Linked DNA regions of Oreochromis niloticus. The protein of the gene in region 1 interacts with the protein of each later gene in a pairwise test. Links are inferred from orthologs where the notes say so. Each region holds a gene or a part of one and is shown in the gene's direction. Other genes may lie near its edges.

Region 1 (7,171 bases):
AGTGATGGGAGAAGGGAGCCGGAGATCGACAGACGGATTGGTGCTGCGGCTGCAGTGATGCGGACGCTGCACCGGTCCGTCGTGGTGAAGAGGGAGCTGAGTGTAAAAGCGAAGCTCTCAATTTACCGGTCGATCTACGTCCCGACCCTCACCTATGGCCACGAGCTGTGGGTAGTGACCGAAAGAACGAGATCGCGGATACAAGCGGCAGAAATGAGCTTCCTCCGAAGGGTGGCTGGCCTCTCCCTTAGAGATAGGGTGAGAAGTTTGGCCATCCGGGAGGGGCTCAGAGTAGAGCCGCTGCTCCTCCACATCGAAAGGAGCCAGTTGAGGTGGTTCGGGCATCTGACAAGGATGCCTCCTGGGCGCCTCCTGGGTGAGGTGTTCCGGGCATGTCCCACCGGGAGGAGGCCCCGGGGCAGACCCAGGACACGCTGGAGAGATTATATCTCTCGGCTGGCCTGGGAACGCCTTGGTGTTCCCCCGGATAAGCTGGAGGAGGTGGCTGGGGAGAGGGAGGTCTGGGCTTCTCTGCTTAGGCTGCTGCCCCCGCGACCCGGCCTCGGATAAAGCGGATGAAGATGGATGTTTTTAGTTCTTGTGTTCTTTTTACTGAAGTTCAAACTAAAGTTTAATCTGGTCAATTCCTCCAGCTGCTGTTTATGCTGATGTAACTGGTTTAATCTGACATTGTTTGTCTTTGCTCGTCCTAAAGTTTGGGGAAAAAACAGCAGCGTGACTTCTTTATGTTTGTAAAGACATGTCACGTCTCATCCAAGGAGCTTCTAAAGTTCTAAAACAAAAGCTGGAGAGTCCCAGGTATTTAACCTGTTTGGAGTTGATCCTGACAGTCGCTGGCATGGGTCATTACCATCAGTGGGGGTTAAGGGCGAAACCACCTTGGCACATGTGATGAAGCCTCTGTTTAGGTCACCATTCTTACCTTGCAGAAGTCGATGAGTTAGAGCAGCGATTCCCAAAGTCAGGAGTGCTGCAAAACCAGAAAATCCCAATCTCAAAGCTCCACTCTGATCAAAGCGTGAGAGAGTGATGCATTAACATGACAATTTTATTCAAAATCAGTCTGTTGGCTATAAACTGCTAATGCTACCCATTAGAATTGGCAGTTTATATGCAAAATGTTAAGGCTAACGTGACCCATCTGTCACTAGGACACAAACTTCTCGTACCAGTTCAAGTTCACATAAATTCATATAAATATGTAATTGTACTTTGTAAGTAAATTAAAACTGAATTTCTATTACACCTGCAGTACCATCCCGGCTCACTAGGTTGGATAACAGTCCACAGGACCAGAATTCATTGGCCCCCTGGTGGCCATTAAAAAGAATACAGGTTTAAGGCACTTCTGTATTGGTTTCACTGTTGGAAAACCAACTTTTGGGGCTTATTCAGGATAAAATATTTCTGTTCAAAAAGAACCAACTGTTAGCTCTAGATGAATCGAGTAAAGTGTCTTTGTTTTTGTCTAGCTTCAAATAAACGTGTTAGTCCTTACACTCCAATGAGGAACGTTCTGATCCAAACCTTGTGTTGTGCAGAAACTAGAAGGACAGACCTTTGAAAGCAGATGTTGTTAGCACATGTAGGCAGCACAAGAGCTACCTTTAAGCTACCGTCTCGTGTTCATGTGGAGGGTCCACCACATGGAGTGCCATTCCAACCCAATTAGTGTTAAGTGGGTTATGAAGCCCTCGAAAACTGAGTGAGTGTGTGGCGATGCGTGCTCTGTGACTCCACTCCTCTCGAGTGCGCCGCCTGTTCAGTGTCAAAGGAAACAAACCTCCAGATATGAGCAGCATCCTGTTATTCCACAGGGACCCCTCGGTAATTAATAAGAACTTTCAGGAAAATGGAAATTTTGTTGGTGTATCTAAGGACACAATTTATCAAGTAATGCAATTAGTTCAAACAACTATAATTTTATTATACTTTCCCAGAAGAAGGGAGTGGGGTTTTCCCATTCCTCTTGCTGTGGCAACGCCTTTAGTCTGAGAGCAGAGAGTTTATCTGATGAATGAAAGTTTCCTAAAATGCACCAAAGCCAATAAACCAACAGACTCAGCCTAGAGTGAAAGTACGCAGCCTTAAGCATCAAACTAACTAATATGAGTGTGTTAATGAGGTTAATAGAAATATGGTATAAACATGTTTGCTACTGAGGTATCTTCTTATTCTATCTAAGGTTTGTACAGGGGGGACTCTGGGCAGCCATCCAGCTAACAGTGGGTATACTTTTGATATGTCAAGAAATTCAACAGAATAAACAGCAAAATCTATTTTTCATTCATCCAGGTGACTTTCTTAAGTCTGTGCTGACCACGGGTCTCCTTCCAATAGGTCACGGCAGTCTGCATGATCATAAAACATATCTCATGTTATGTGATGCTGTGGTTTTGATTGTTACACAGGTGACTGAACAAACCTGCAGTCAGCTGAGACTGAAGAAGTCATCCAGGTGACTGACCAGGTGACTTCATCGAGACCGTTTTTTAATTTATTTTGGGATTAAATGTTCTAAAAGTGGCACATGAACAAATTCCTGTGTGATAAGAAATAAGTTGTTTTTTTTATTGTACCACTGCATTCGTGTTTAAAAACTTAAATGATGAAACATCCCAGTTGATGCTCGGTCTTCTGATGCTGCAGCTGATAATATCAGAAATTAGTTGCAAAATAGTTTCAAGTTGTGAAATGCGTGTTAAGTCTGGAAGGAGGTGACAACATCTAATCTTTAACTGCACAAGCTGCAGGCTTAACTTGCAAATGTCCTGCAGTGACGTCATAGGGCAAAAGCCTGCATGTACTTTTACAGCGCACAGACTGTTCCAACAGCAGCTCAGAAGAACATTAACATCTATGGAGGAACTATGGAAGCTCGTCTTTAACACTTCATTTAAATTTCAACCTAATAACTCAAAACTAGGGTTAGGGTTAGTCTGACACTCAGTAACTCAAGAAATGTTGTTTTAATAAGTCCAAATTTGAAGACAATAGCCCAAAATTGTGATTTACAGATGTCATGTTTTTATTTTTTCTAGTGGCAGAGTGGCATTTTTTGCAGTGGTGAAAAAGGGCTTCCTTCAAGAGCAGCCCTGAAGGCTTTTCTCCGACCGTGGCCTCTGGATGAAGGTTGAACATAGTCACTGTGACTTCACTGCTTTAGTCTGTGGGCTCTGCTCCGTAAAGCCTGAAACCGTGTAGTTTATTGGTCAGGGACTTGGATAAGGTGAGGTGAAGCCCAGCAGAACAGGTTGGAAAAATGAAGCACGTGTCTTAAACCCGTGTTCTACCTGAAGGCCACCAGATGGCAATAACTGTGGTTGCATAAAAAGACCTCCAGTCCCATAGAGGCTTGTCACATGATGTCAGTCTACATTCCTCCAGAGTGGTCTGCAATATTTGAGGTGATACACATTAGGGCAAAGTATGTATTCCCTGAATGGTTGGTGAAACCTGAAATAATCTGGTGCAAACCAGAGAAGGGTCGCCTTCAAAGTACAAGCGATGGCTCAGAACCATGCCGATATGTGTCAGAAGGCACAAATTTCACTTTGAAGGTAAATGTTCGACATTTCTCTTTGTGTTGCTTTTTTTCACAGCTTTGCAGACACATTGGCGTGTTGCATGCAAACCACGGATGATTGCAGCAACTCGATAGCAACCAAAGCAATCACTGACCAGTTGGGGAATACACTTTTCTCTCACGACTGAGCAGTGGTGGCCAAACAGTTGCAGACCAGTCTGTAAGGACATCATGTCTCAGATGATGGACAAGTTAAAACCATGTGGTTGGTGATCATGTGACTGCAAGACCTCAATAGACGACTTGGGAATAAGTCATTCAGAGTTTTTGGGCTCTGCTACTTGTTTTGTGTCTTTTAAAAAAAAAAAAAAATAGGAGTCTGTTTTGTAAATTTTGGTCATACTGTGTTTTCTGGTGTGTTATTGGGAAAAAAACATCAGCTACAGTAAAGATAAGCAACTCCCTGATTTCTGTATTGCTTCATGTGGAGGACTCCTGGGGGCCCCTGAGGGTCCGGGAAATCCGAAGCCTTGTAGGTAACACGGCCCTGGATTGCGGTGAACCTTAAACATGTCAGGCTGTTTAATGTGAATCATCTCCTGCTCTGTTTAACATTGAATGGCCGGTGTTAGCACAGAGTCTGCGCTGCACCGCAGGTTTAAGAATCATTTATGCCAAACTATGAATGGACTTTGAAGCAGCAGTAAACCCTCGGTCAGCCTGTAAAGCAGCTGGATTAGCTCGCTGCTGTTTTATTTCGCAGCGGGTCCTCACAGAGACAGCAGAGCGCGCACAAACAAGCAGAGGGGAGGGGGAGCTGCTGCCTTTGCGGAAGCCAGCGGAGAGCCGAGGCGGCGCTAAATCAAATTACCATACTAACTAGTTCTCTGTGCGCCGATGTGAGGGGAGCAGGCTGAAGAAAAGCCTCCGTTTTTAAAGTCAAGACACCTACGAGTCCGGCCTCATTTTGTTGGGATCTTCCTGCCGTCCGCCTGCAGAGGAGATGGGGGACAAGGCGGGCACCAGGTAGGACGGCTAGGCTATGAACGGCTAGCTGCGGTTTAGCGTCGGTTCTCACGCACTTTGCTAGCAGCCGTGCTAGTGGCCCAGGCGGAGGAGTTTCTGCTCTCAGCCCGAGCATCAGAGATTTACCCGCTTAATTAGCTAGACCCGGGCCGGGACCAGCGAGCGAGCCCTCTGGTTCTGGTCCAGAACTCTCAGAGCGATGACCTCGTTCGCAGGAGGCGAAGTTAGCACAGCAGGGTGGGGTTAGCTATCCGCGGCTGTGGTGGACGGGACGGCGTTCCAGCGTCCGCTCAGAAATCTGTCAATTTTCAACATTACGCTAACGTTTCCGTCTGACTGAAAAGCACACGAAAAATGATCAACTGTTAACGCCCACCGCTTACTCTAACACAAAGAAAAAAAACGGCACGATATTCGGGTGATTTTACACCACATTTGGGTGTTTTAAAGAGGAATTCCCACGGTGTTTGTCCAGTAAAATACCGCTGAAACGTTAGTGGGCGGTATCGACATGTAACCTGAAAAACAGCATTTTAACTTGAGATTTGTTTAAATTATGGAGCTTATTCTTGTTCGATTCAGTTCCAATGTTTACAGTCAGCTTTTATGTAACGTAAAATATTAGAGTGTTGTGTATTCTCGTTAACCAGGGGCGAAATGTTAAAATGAAGTGTTTTTGAATGGAATTTGGTACGAAGGAGCGTATTGGTGGGCTATTTAGGTTCACTTGCCTCCATCACGGGCTTATTTCGGGTTTCTGGTACCGCAGGTTCATGCCAGTTAGCTGTAAATGTATTTTAAAGAGAATGGAGCTTTCGTTTTCGGGCATCTGTGAGTTCTGGTTCCTGTTTCGGGCCGATACACTCGGTTTGTAGGCACAGCACATCGACACAAAGTGATTGTGGTTTCTTTAAAGCTCAGGATGCCCCCCCTTCCCTTTTTTGTGTGTTTACACCCTCAGTTAATTGGGTTAGCACTGCTGTGGATCAGCTTTCCTTCCCATGTTTTCTCCTTTATTCCTTCTTCTGCAGATCCCGATTAACAGAAGAGACCCAGAGGGCTTAACTGCATTAATCCAACACACAAAAATAAGACTAATGATGAGGAATGACTGTTATGCTCATCAGATCCCGTCCTGTCGTAATGTGATAGGAATACAGGGCCTTTAAAGTCAGGTTCAGCTCTTTCCTTTACTCCATCTGCTGAAAATGAGGTTAAAGTGCTGACTGCTTCAGGCTGTTTACATCCACATCCTGCATGTTTCTCCTCTGTGAGGTGAAGGTTTGTTGGATGTACAGCTTTCATGCACACAAAAATGATCCGTTTCCTCATGTGTTAGCAGCTTTTCACTATAAAATGCTGATCATCGCTGCTGTTTTTGATGGATTTTCCTCTAACCGGGGGGTTGCGAGTCAGCCCAGCCCATTCCACTTGCAGCTTAACTTTCCTGCCAGTTACTTCCTGTTAGGAAGCAGGTGGAAAACTGGGAGGAGAGGAAACGGGCAGGAGGAAAGACCAACGTCATAGCTGTTGAAGAAATGGGTCTCTCTGACATTCACGCTCGAGCCGCTGTTAACAGATTATACATCGAAGCTGCATGTCGAGTGGCTCTGTGGCACTTTGACTCTTTGCAAAACACCAGCCAGCAGTGGAAAGTTTTTCTCTCTTTGACCTTTCACCTTTTGTACTGACAGCCGTGAAGCTCTTCTCCTTGAGTTTTGTATGAGTAGATTAGTAAGTGTGGCTGTGAGGTGTAGCGATGAGCCAGCTAGAACCGATCACATCCTGATATTTTGTCTGTGTGTTACATTATAGACAAAAAAGCCTCTCCTTCAGAGGCGACGGCTCAGGAAAACTGTTATTTCACGCTTTGCTTCCAGTTGTTTACCGCAGTGTGTCAGATTTTGCATGGCTAAAAGAATCCGTTTTAATTGGCTGTTGTATTGAGATCATCTTCAACACCTGTGTCAAGGACGTGAAGCCGTTACGCTTTACCAGACTCATTCACAAAACAGCAATTTTATGTCACAAAACACGTGAGCTGCTTGTTTACAGCTCGCTCAGCTGCTTAGTTCTTGCTGCTGCATGACTTTGGTGTTCTTAATGTATTTAGTCATATCGGAAATGGTGCGTTGCATAAACTCGACCCTGTTTTCATGTAAGAGTTGCTGGTTTTGTAAGAGAAGTCTGGTGGTGGTTCTCAGCGACTCCCACAGATCAACAAATGACACTGACTTTGTCCCTTGTTGCCACATTTTTCGTGTAAACACAAAGTTGGCTGCTCTCAAAGCTCCAGCTGTTTCTGTGGTCAGCGTGAAGTTTAGATATCTGGAATTATTGTTACAGCTCAAACTTCTAATTATTATTATTCATGTCTGGTTGTTGTTTTTATTATTATCAAAAATGGCTGACCCAGCCCTGACCCTCTTCATGCTGCAGAGACCGAGATGAAAGTGCAGAGGGAAAGTAGCAGTGTGTATTTGCTCTGCATGCAAATGCAGGCAAATCATTTCTTTTTGCAAAAAAAAAAAAGAAAAAAAAAGTGGTGGTGTTATTTTTAGCTGGAAACAAACAGTGATGCACTTCCTGTTCTTCAGC
Region 2 (6,974 bases), on another chromosome or scaffold:
GTTTTCTTTAAAAAAACAAAACAAAAGCATATAAGTGACGCTGGTGAATATTGGCATCTGTGTGCACTTATTAAACCAGTTATTTTTTTATAGATATAATTAACACTTCTTAAAACTTTTAAACCATTGCCAAAAAAGTGTCAACGGCCGAGCAGAGAATATACAGAGCAGCACCTATGTGTGTATTCATTTCAGGTTGTAAACAGTAGCCTCTGAGCACTGGGTTGTTATCGAGTTGTGGCCCCCGGCGTAGGATTGATCCACTTCAGTCCAGCAGCAGGGGGGCGGGAGCTCTGGAGGGGCTCAGCAGGGCTCCAAATCAATAAGGTTAATAGATGTGGGGGCCACGCAGTCAGAGGTGTGCAGCCTGGCATTTTCGGTGCCAATGAGGAAAATTCCTGATGACGAGGTGTCTCTTTTGGAGCCTGCATTAATGTCAGTCTGATTACCTGGAGCCAGGATGTCAGATACAGTGGAGGCTTGCTCCTCGGCCATTAACCGGAATTAGCTTTACAAGGAGACCCTTCAGATTGGAGACTTTAACTTGCCACCTCTTCATCCGCTGTCCATTGAGAACAAATTGCCAACCCCTCCCTCTTTTTCTCCTGACTCTATTCTTTCACGCTGATTTCTATAATGCCAACAGTTTCATAATCACTTGATGAGTAATTTCCTCTCATTTGGGATTGGGAGAGAGAGAGAGAGAGGTTTCATTTAGAAGTTTCTTTTTTCCCCCCCTCCTGGTCTCAATTTTACGGTATTTCTCACATCACGTTTTTCTTAAGAGCATAATTGAACAAGAGGAGAGGGTTGAAGGGGGAAGAAGAAAAAAATGATTGCGCAGTGCAAAAATTAAACGTTAAAAAGAGTCACGACAAAAATTGAAGGTGGTTAAAATCTTGTTTAACGGACAAAATGGAAATTAAAGCTTTTTGTTAAAAGATTCGCTCTTCCACATTTGCTGCCGGACTTGGCTATCGCTCTCAGAGTCTAAACTGAATTTCCTCTTATTATTTATTTTCGGGGACAATAAGCTAACAGTTCACAGTAAGTCTTTTGTAAATTTTCCTCACACAGAAAGTTTGTGCTTAGCTTTCCCACACTGTGATATCCACTAGACTATTAAGATTTCTGAATAGGGCCCTTCAGTTTCTCGCAGACTTACAGCAGAGTTTGAATGGCGAAATGCAAATGAAGTGCTTGCTGATCCATTCTCTCAGTACCTGGCTGATGTCTATGTAGAAAGCCAAGCATCTGAGTGCATGTCTCTGTGTGTGTGGATGAGGATATACAGACCGAGGTGAGGCTGGCCAGCAGCACACCTGCAATTAGCCATGCACCTGCATCATCTGAATTAAAGTGCGTGAGCAGAAGTCATGCTGGCTTCACTACCCTCAGCCCCCCTAAACAAAACACTGAAGTCATTTGCAATAAAAGAATCAGTTGTCTCTCTCTTGCCCCCTCCCTCTTTCAAAAGGACCCTTTGCATAGGAAATCAGTTGTCTCTCCCTTCATGGACATCATGCCGTGTGGGCTCCCATGGAAATGAGTTTTGGCATTGTTGTGCCGAGGCACCCCCCCTCTAATAAATTGAGGAGGATTAAGGGAGAAGAATGTAATAAAGGATAGTCATTTCATCATGACAGCCATTTTTAGAGGGGGTTGGGGCAGCCAGAGATTTAAAGGATAATCAGCCCCGGGTTTATTTCCATAACATGCATTACAATCTGCTTCTTTGAACTTTGCTGCCACTTAGGTTACTAGATTTGTACGAGGAAAAAGAGAAGAAAAAAAAAAGCACTATTATCAAATGTTTAGTGTTGGAGGGTTGAGTGACATATTAGAGACATCTGAGTGAGTTATTAAACCGTTGTGGCTCTTGGAGATTATTATGCATTAATCTAAGTACTTTGAAGTGTGTGCGTGTGTGTGTGTGTGCACGTGCTTCAAGAGTGGAATTATAAGCATACATCTCCTAAACTAAGGCTGTAAATGATATTTAAGAGTCTCGCATCTTCTCACTTTCAAATTTATTTCCCTGACTTCTTATTTATATGCAAAGAAATGTCTTGTTCAAATAAAATAAACCTCAAGGGGCTAAAATATTTACTTTAGTCTGATCACGCTGCCAAGTTTTTCTACACGAGTATTAGTTTTCATTGATCATGAAGTCAGTGTCCAACCAGCCCCTGCTAACTGTTTGTTTAGTCTCTGTATGTGATTGGAAACACTTCAGAAATGGTGACCAGCAGCAGGTGAAGGGTGCCTGAGCTTTGAAGTCTGTGTTCCTTATTGATCCCGTGCATATTCTAAAAATCAAAGAAGGCATCAAAGGCATAGCTAAACTCTTTAAGACTCTGCACACACCAAAAAAGGGCACCAAAGACAGCATGAACAAGCAAAGCAGGTGGTGGCTGCTGGTTGGAGCACTCACACCTCCAACTCCCGTCACGGCCCAGACAGACCACTCAAGGCTTCTATTTTAATGTTGGACAGCAGTAAGGCTCCCACTTTGACTGGCACTTCTCTCTCATTGGAGGACAGAGAGGCAGCTTGGAGAAATCTAAAGCTCAAACGAATAACCAAAACCACTGCAGAGGACAAATTACTCGAATATAACATTTGCTGCTATAAGTGAATAGAGATACTTGACAGTTAAGTATTACAAAAATGTAAAACAATAAAATATGGTGTGCTTTTATCGGCTGAAAATTCTTTAGAATTATTTTTAAACAGTATCAATGAAACTCTGGAAATTTTAGTAGTCCATTATTTGTAAGCAAAAATGATGCAACATGTGCTGCCAAATTTCATAAACGTAATAAGGCTAGTGGGCTGTAATTACCAGGAATGTCACACAAAAAAACAATAGCTATGATAGGTAGCATGTGTACAGTGTAGAAAAAGGTACTTGGATAGTGATTTGTATTAAAGATCATTATCAGATTAGAGACTCATTTGCAACAGTATTGATGGCAACAGTGCCGTCTTCACCTTATGTAGTTTACCCACAACTTCCTACAGCCCATCTCTTCTCTAGCAGCTAAACACATGAACAGCAGCACAACCAACTTGACAAAGCATCTTAAAAAGTGACACTCTGGTCTGTACAAAGATTTTCCTGTCATCAGTATAGCTTCTGTTTCAGCAATATCAAAGTATTAAACAGTTGTCGTAAACATTAAGCTGGCCGGTACACGTGTTAACGTTAGCCCCATTTATCTGTTTTGCAATTACCCACATTAGCTGTCTTTTAAGTTATCATTAAGATAGTGACTAGCAGCTATGGCTAATAAGTAAACAATAACATTAATGTTTGAGCCAGACAAGATTAGTCTTGCCTGTCAGTAACGTTAATAGATTAGAGAATTAGTCCTATTTCAACAGGATATCAAAACTGTTTATGTTGAAAAACTATTAAGTTCATTATAAAGTGGTAGATTGAAGCTGAGAAAAGTCTACCAGCAACTAGACCGCATCAATGGCAACCTTACCAGGACCTTTTAATCAGGAAAGTATCACAGTGCTAAGTCAAGGGGAGGACCTAATCTGCATGTATCAGTATTATCGTAATCTTTATTTTTTTTGCTGTTTTTATTTTTTATACAATGAATTTCTATAAGGATGCATTCGGGTCAGTATCTACCTTCTGACAACTGGACTGGAGAATTTGAACCACCAACCACCAATAAGCAGAGGACAAAGCAGCTCCAACTTTGTTTCTAACCCCAATTATTTTTTTTTATCTGTCATTAAATTTCCTTAAAACAATAACAAGAGGATGAAAATTATTTAAGTATTACTTAATTATATAGACCTAATTATAAAAACAAAAGAACTTTTTTTGTAGTATTTGTCGTGTTAGTGATATATATATATCTATCTATCTATCTATCTATCTATCTATCTATCTATCTATCTATATATATATATATATATATATATATATAAGAAGAGTTGGGCAGATCTAATTTTGTGGCTACCAATCTCTCTGACAGCAGACTATACACAGAGCCATCACCTCAACAGTCAATGGCTCCAGTATTGGCAGAATTGATGACAGCAACGCAACAAGGTGGAGACTGCAATCGGAGCATCTCTGTGACACTCCAAGATAAATCCACACTCCTTCAACCTCCAGCTCCCCCTCTGATGTATGCCTGTCCTCTGCTCTCCTTGGGTGCACATGGGAGTTATTTGAGCCTTTCTGGGACCAGCGGGAAACAACGATGCCACACCAGCTCACTGTTGGATTACCCTCATTGCGTGAGTCTTTGGCCTCTTTCCTCTTGTGACGACACAGGGTCGAGTTTACGAGAGACTGATTTAACTCATTCACCGCAGTCCACTGCCACTAGCCACATGCCTGCCAGCCCAGTGATTCTAGTACAACACTAAGTGGTCCTGAAATGAGGAGACAAAATGCCTCTTTGACTCAGTTCACAAAGATTTAATTTTTTAGGGGCAATGATGGTTTGATTTTATGCCCACCACTCTCTGGGGAGTTAATCCTAAAGAAATATAGCTCAGAGCACTATATGTAGCTCCTGTAGTTCCATGTTTTAGAATTTGTGCTAATTTGCTTACCTTCATAGTAGACCTGACTGTGCTCTGGTGCCTCGTGGTGCCTTTCAAAGCTAAATCTCAAGTGACAAATATTAAAGGTCAGAAAATGGGTTAATGGTTATTTTCAAAGCAAAAAAACCCCCCAATATTTCCAAGTCTAGCCTTGTTAAAGGTAGTGATTTATTTAATGATTTTCTACAATTTACCTGAAATGAACATCAAATTCTGGTTATACTTGGTCAAATAAGTAAGACACGACCAGTGTTAAACAGCTTTTTTCCCCATTTACACGAGATTACTTAAACATGAAACCCAACAACAGGATCGGTACTGCAATGGGCAAGTAAACAAGCAACAAAGAGCACCTTAAGAGACCCCAAGTGAACCACTAAAATATTGTTTTTTTAAATAGTTAAATCAAGAAACAAACATGTTTTCTTTCTCCCACAGCTATCAAAAAGGGGTGTTTTATATCCGTTTCTCAGTTTGGGTTGTTTATTTGCTACCCGAGCCTTGATGGAGAGCACTCTACTTGATTATCAGTTCAAACTTTACTTTGAAAACGTTGTGCAGTGCCATTTTTTTTCCAATTGAGAAAACTATGCAAGTGCATGACACACCATCGACTTTGTCATCATAATGAATGAATATTAAGGCTGCTTCATTTGACCTTAAGAGTTTCAAGTTTCTACTGGAAGTCAGTCGAGTTAGAAAATACATTCTGATTATAATTTGATTGTCTAGAAATAAGTTCCACATCCAGAAACGTGCATCTGAAAATCATAACACTAAACTTTTTTTAAAAACCTCTTCTTGCTGATTGTACATAGATTGAGATGGCTGATCTTTCTCGTTTTACGGGGTGGAAGCTCAAGACAGAAAAAAAAGCAAAAAGCTTATCCTGCCTTTTCTCAAGAGACTTAACACTAATACGTACAATGAACCTACTGACCCTTGAAAGCCCTCTTTTTAGTCATTGTAAGGATGTCATGTTTTTATTGGCTTTGTTTTTTAAGTGCTGTAAGTAGTCCGTACAGCAAAATGTCTAACAGAGGCATCCCACTGATGTCCCAAGGGACACAACATGAGTAATGCTCTCACATTTACAGGGCGAACAAGGGATACACTTTGCACCGGGGGTTCTGATCATGCTATTTTCAACAGAAAGTTGCAGACGTCTTCATTCCAATGCCTTTTCTTTCCTTTTCGTCAGTATGAATTTCTGGTGGACATTTGGTGGAGATTTTCAGTAAAAAGTATCACTGATTCTTTGGGAACAAGTGAACATCATCTGTGGCTGCAGTCGGATGTTTCCTCTGCTTTGATGTTTCTGATCCGTGTCATGTAATTAAAACCCAAATAATGCCAAGTTAACTCCTTTACAAGGAGGATGAACATTAACTGGAAGTTTTGGGGCAAAAACTCCAAATAAATCATAGAAAAAAACTTTCTAATGAGCTATGAATTGCAATTGTGTTTGACATAAAACGTGCAGTTTTCAACATATTTGTATTTCTTGACATACTTCCTCCACAGTGTTCCAGCTCACGGCAATGAGAATGTTTAGAAATGGTGTGAAAAAGTCTGCTGCTTGTGGCCAAAAGAATGAACTATGGCAGACTGGAGATTGTGAATAGCCCTTTTACAGGTCACAGAATCCTTTCAGCCCACTGACATTGTTATTATCTGACCGTCATAGATGGGCCTAATTAATATTCTAATCATATGCCTCCGGAACATTGTAAGCAAAATTATCCGCTGAGTACCATTTGCTTATTCAGTTAGTTGTTGACTCTGTTGGTGAGAAACCACCACTTTGGGAAAAGTGAACATTGTGTAAAGGCTGACTTAAACTCAAAATCTATATTATTTCACTGGTGTGTTTATGGAATGACACAAAGTCAATCAAAAGTAAGAATATCTAAATTTAGGAGGAAACTTTGGGCTTGTTAGTTTCGCAAGCATAAAGATTCTTTGAGATCTGATTTGGGGATCTTGTTAACAACCACTGGCTTTTTGTTGGGGCGGCGTGCAGCAGCAATATGTCTTACTTCTTCAAATTTAATTGACAGAAATCCTTCCAACTCTTATTATCATGATTCACTCATGATAACTGTCTTTCAAGTCTTCAAACTCTTGCAAGTACCCAGATAATACAACAGCCCCTTTTGAGCATTCCACCTTTGTATTGGCGCCCAATATTGGAACTGTATTTTAATAGTTTCTGAAGTGCCTACAAACGCCATGCTGCAAATCTCCATCATTATTGCTCCCCGTCTTCTCTGTGGGGAGTTAGGAGAGTTATGGAGTGTTGTGACGAAAGAGACCTGAAGTCGACAGACATCTTTCCAGGACGCACAGTCTCGCTATGGAGCGCCATCAGATGGGAAAGTGAACAGACTGAAATG

What was found. The genes of interacting proteins can lie anywhere in the genome.
Region 2: the proteins of arrestin red cell (region 1) and agtr1b interact in a two-hybrid assay, tested with the Homo sapiens proteins (2 studies listed by BioGRID and IntAct, with this or other methods). The link is inferred for Oreochromis niloticus from reciprocal best matches to the Homo sapiens genes ARRB2 and AGTR1.

Annotation. Positions count from the first base shown.
Region 1 is NC_031975.2:31,921,820-31,928,990, forward strand, and holds the start of arrestin red cell, read left to right. Parts: upstream 1-4,160; 5' UTR 4,161-4,550; coding exon 4,551-4,573; intron 4,574-7,171. UniProt on the Homo sapiens protein: Functions in regulating agonist-mediated G-protein coupled receptor (GPCR) signaling by mediating both receptor desensitization and resensitization processes.
Region 2 is NC_031974.2:17,755,570-17,762,543, forward strand, and holds the start of agtr1b (type-1 angiotensin II receptor), read left to right. Parts: upstream 1-3,964; 5' UTR 3,965-4,229; coding exon 4,230-4,266; intron 4,267-6,974. UniProt on the Homo sapiens protein: Receptor for angiotensin II, a vasoconstricting peptide, which acts as a key regulator of blood pressure and sodium retention by the kidney.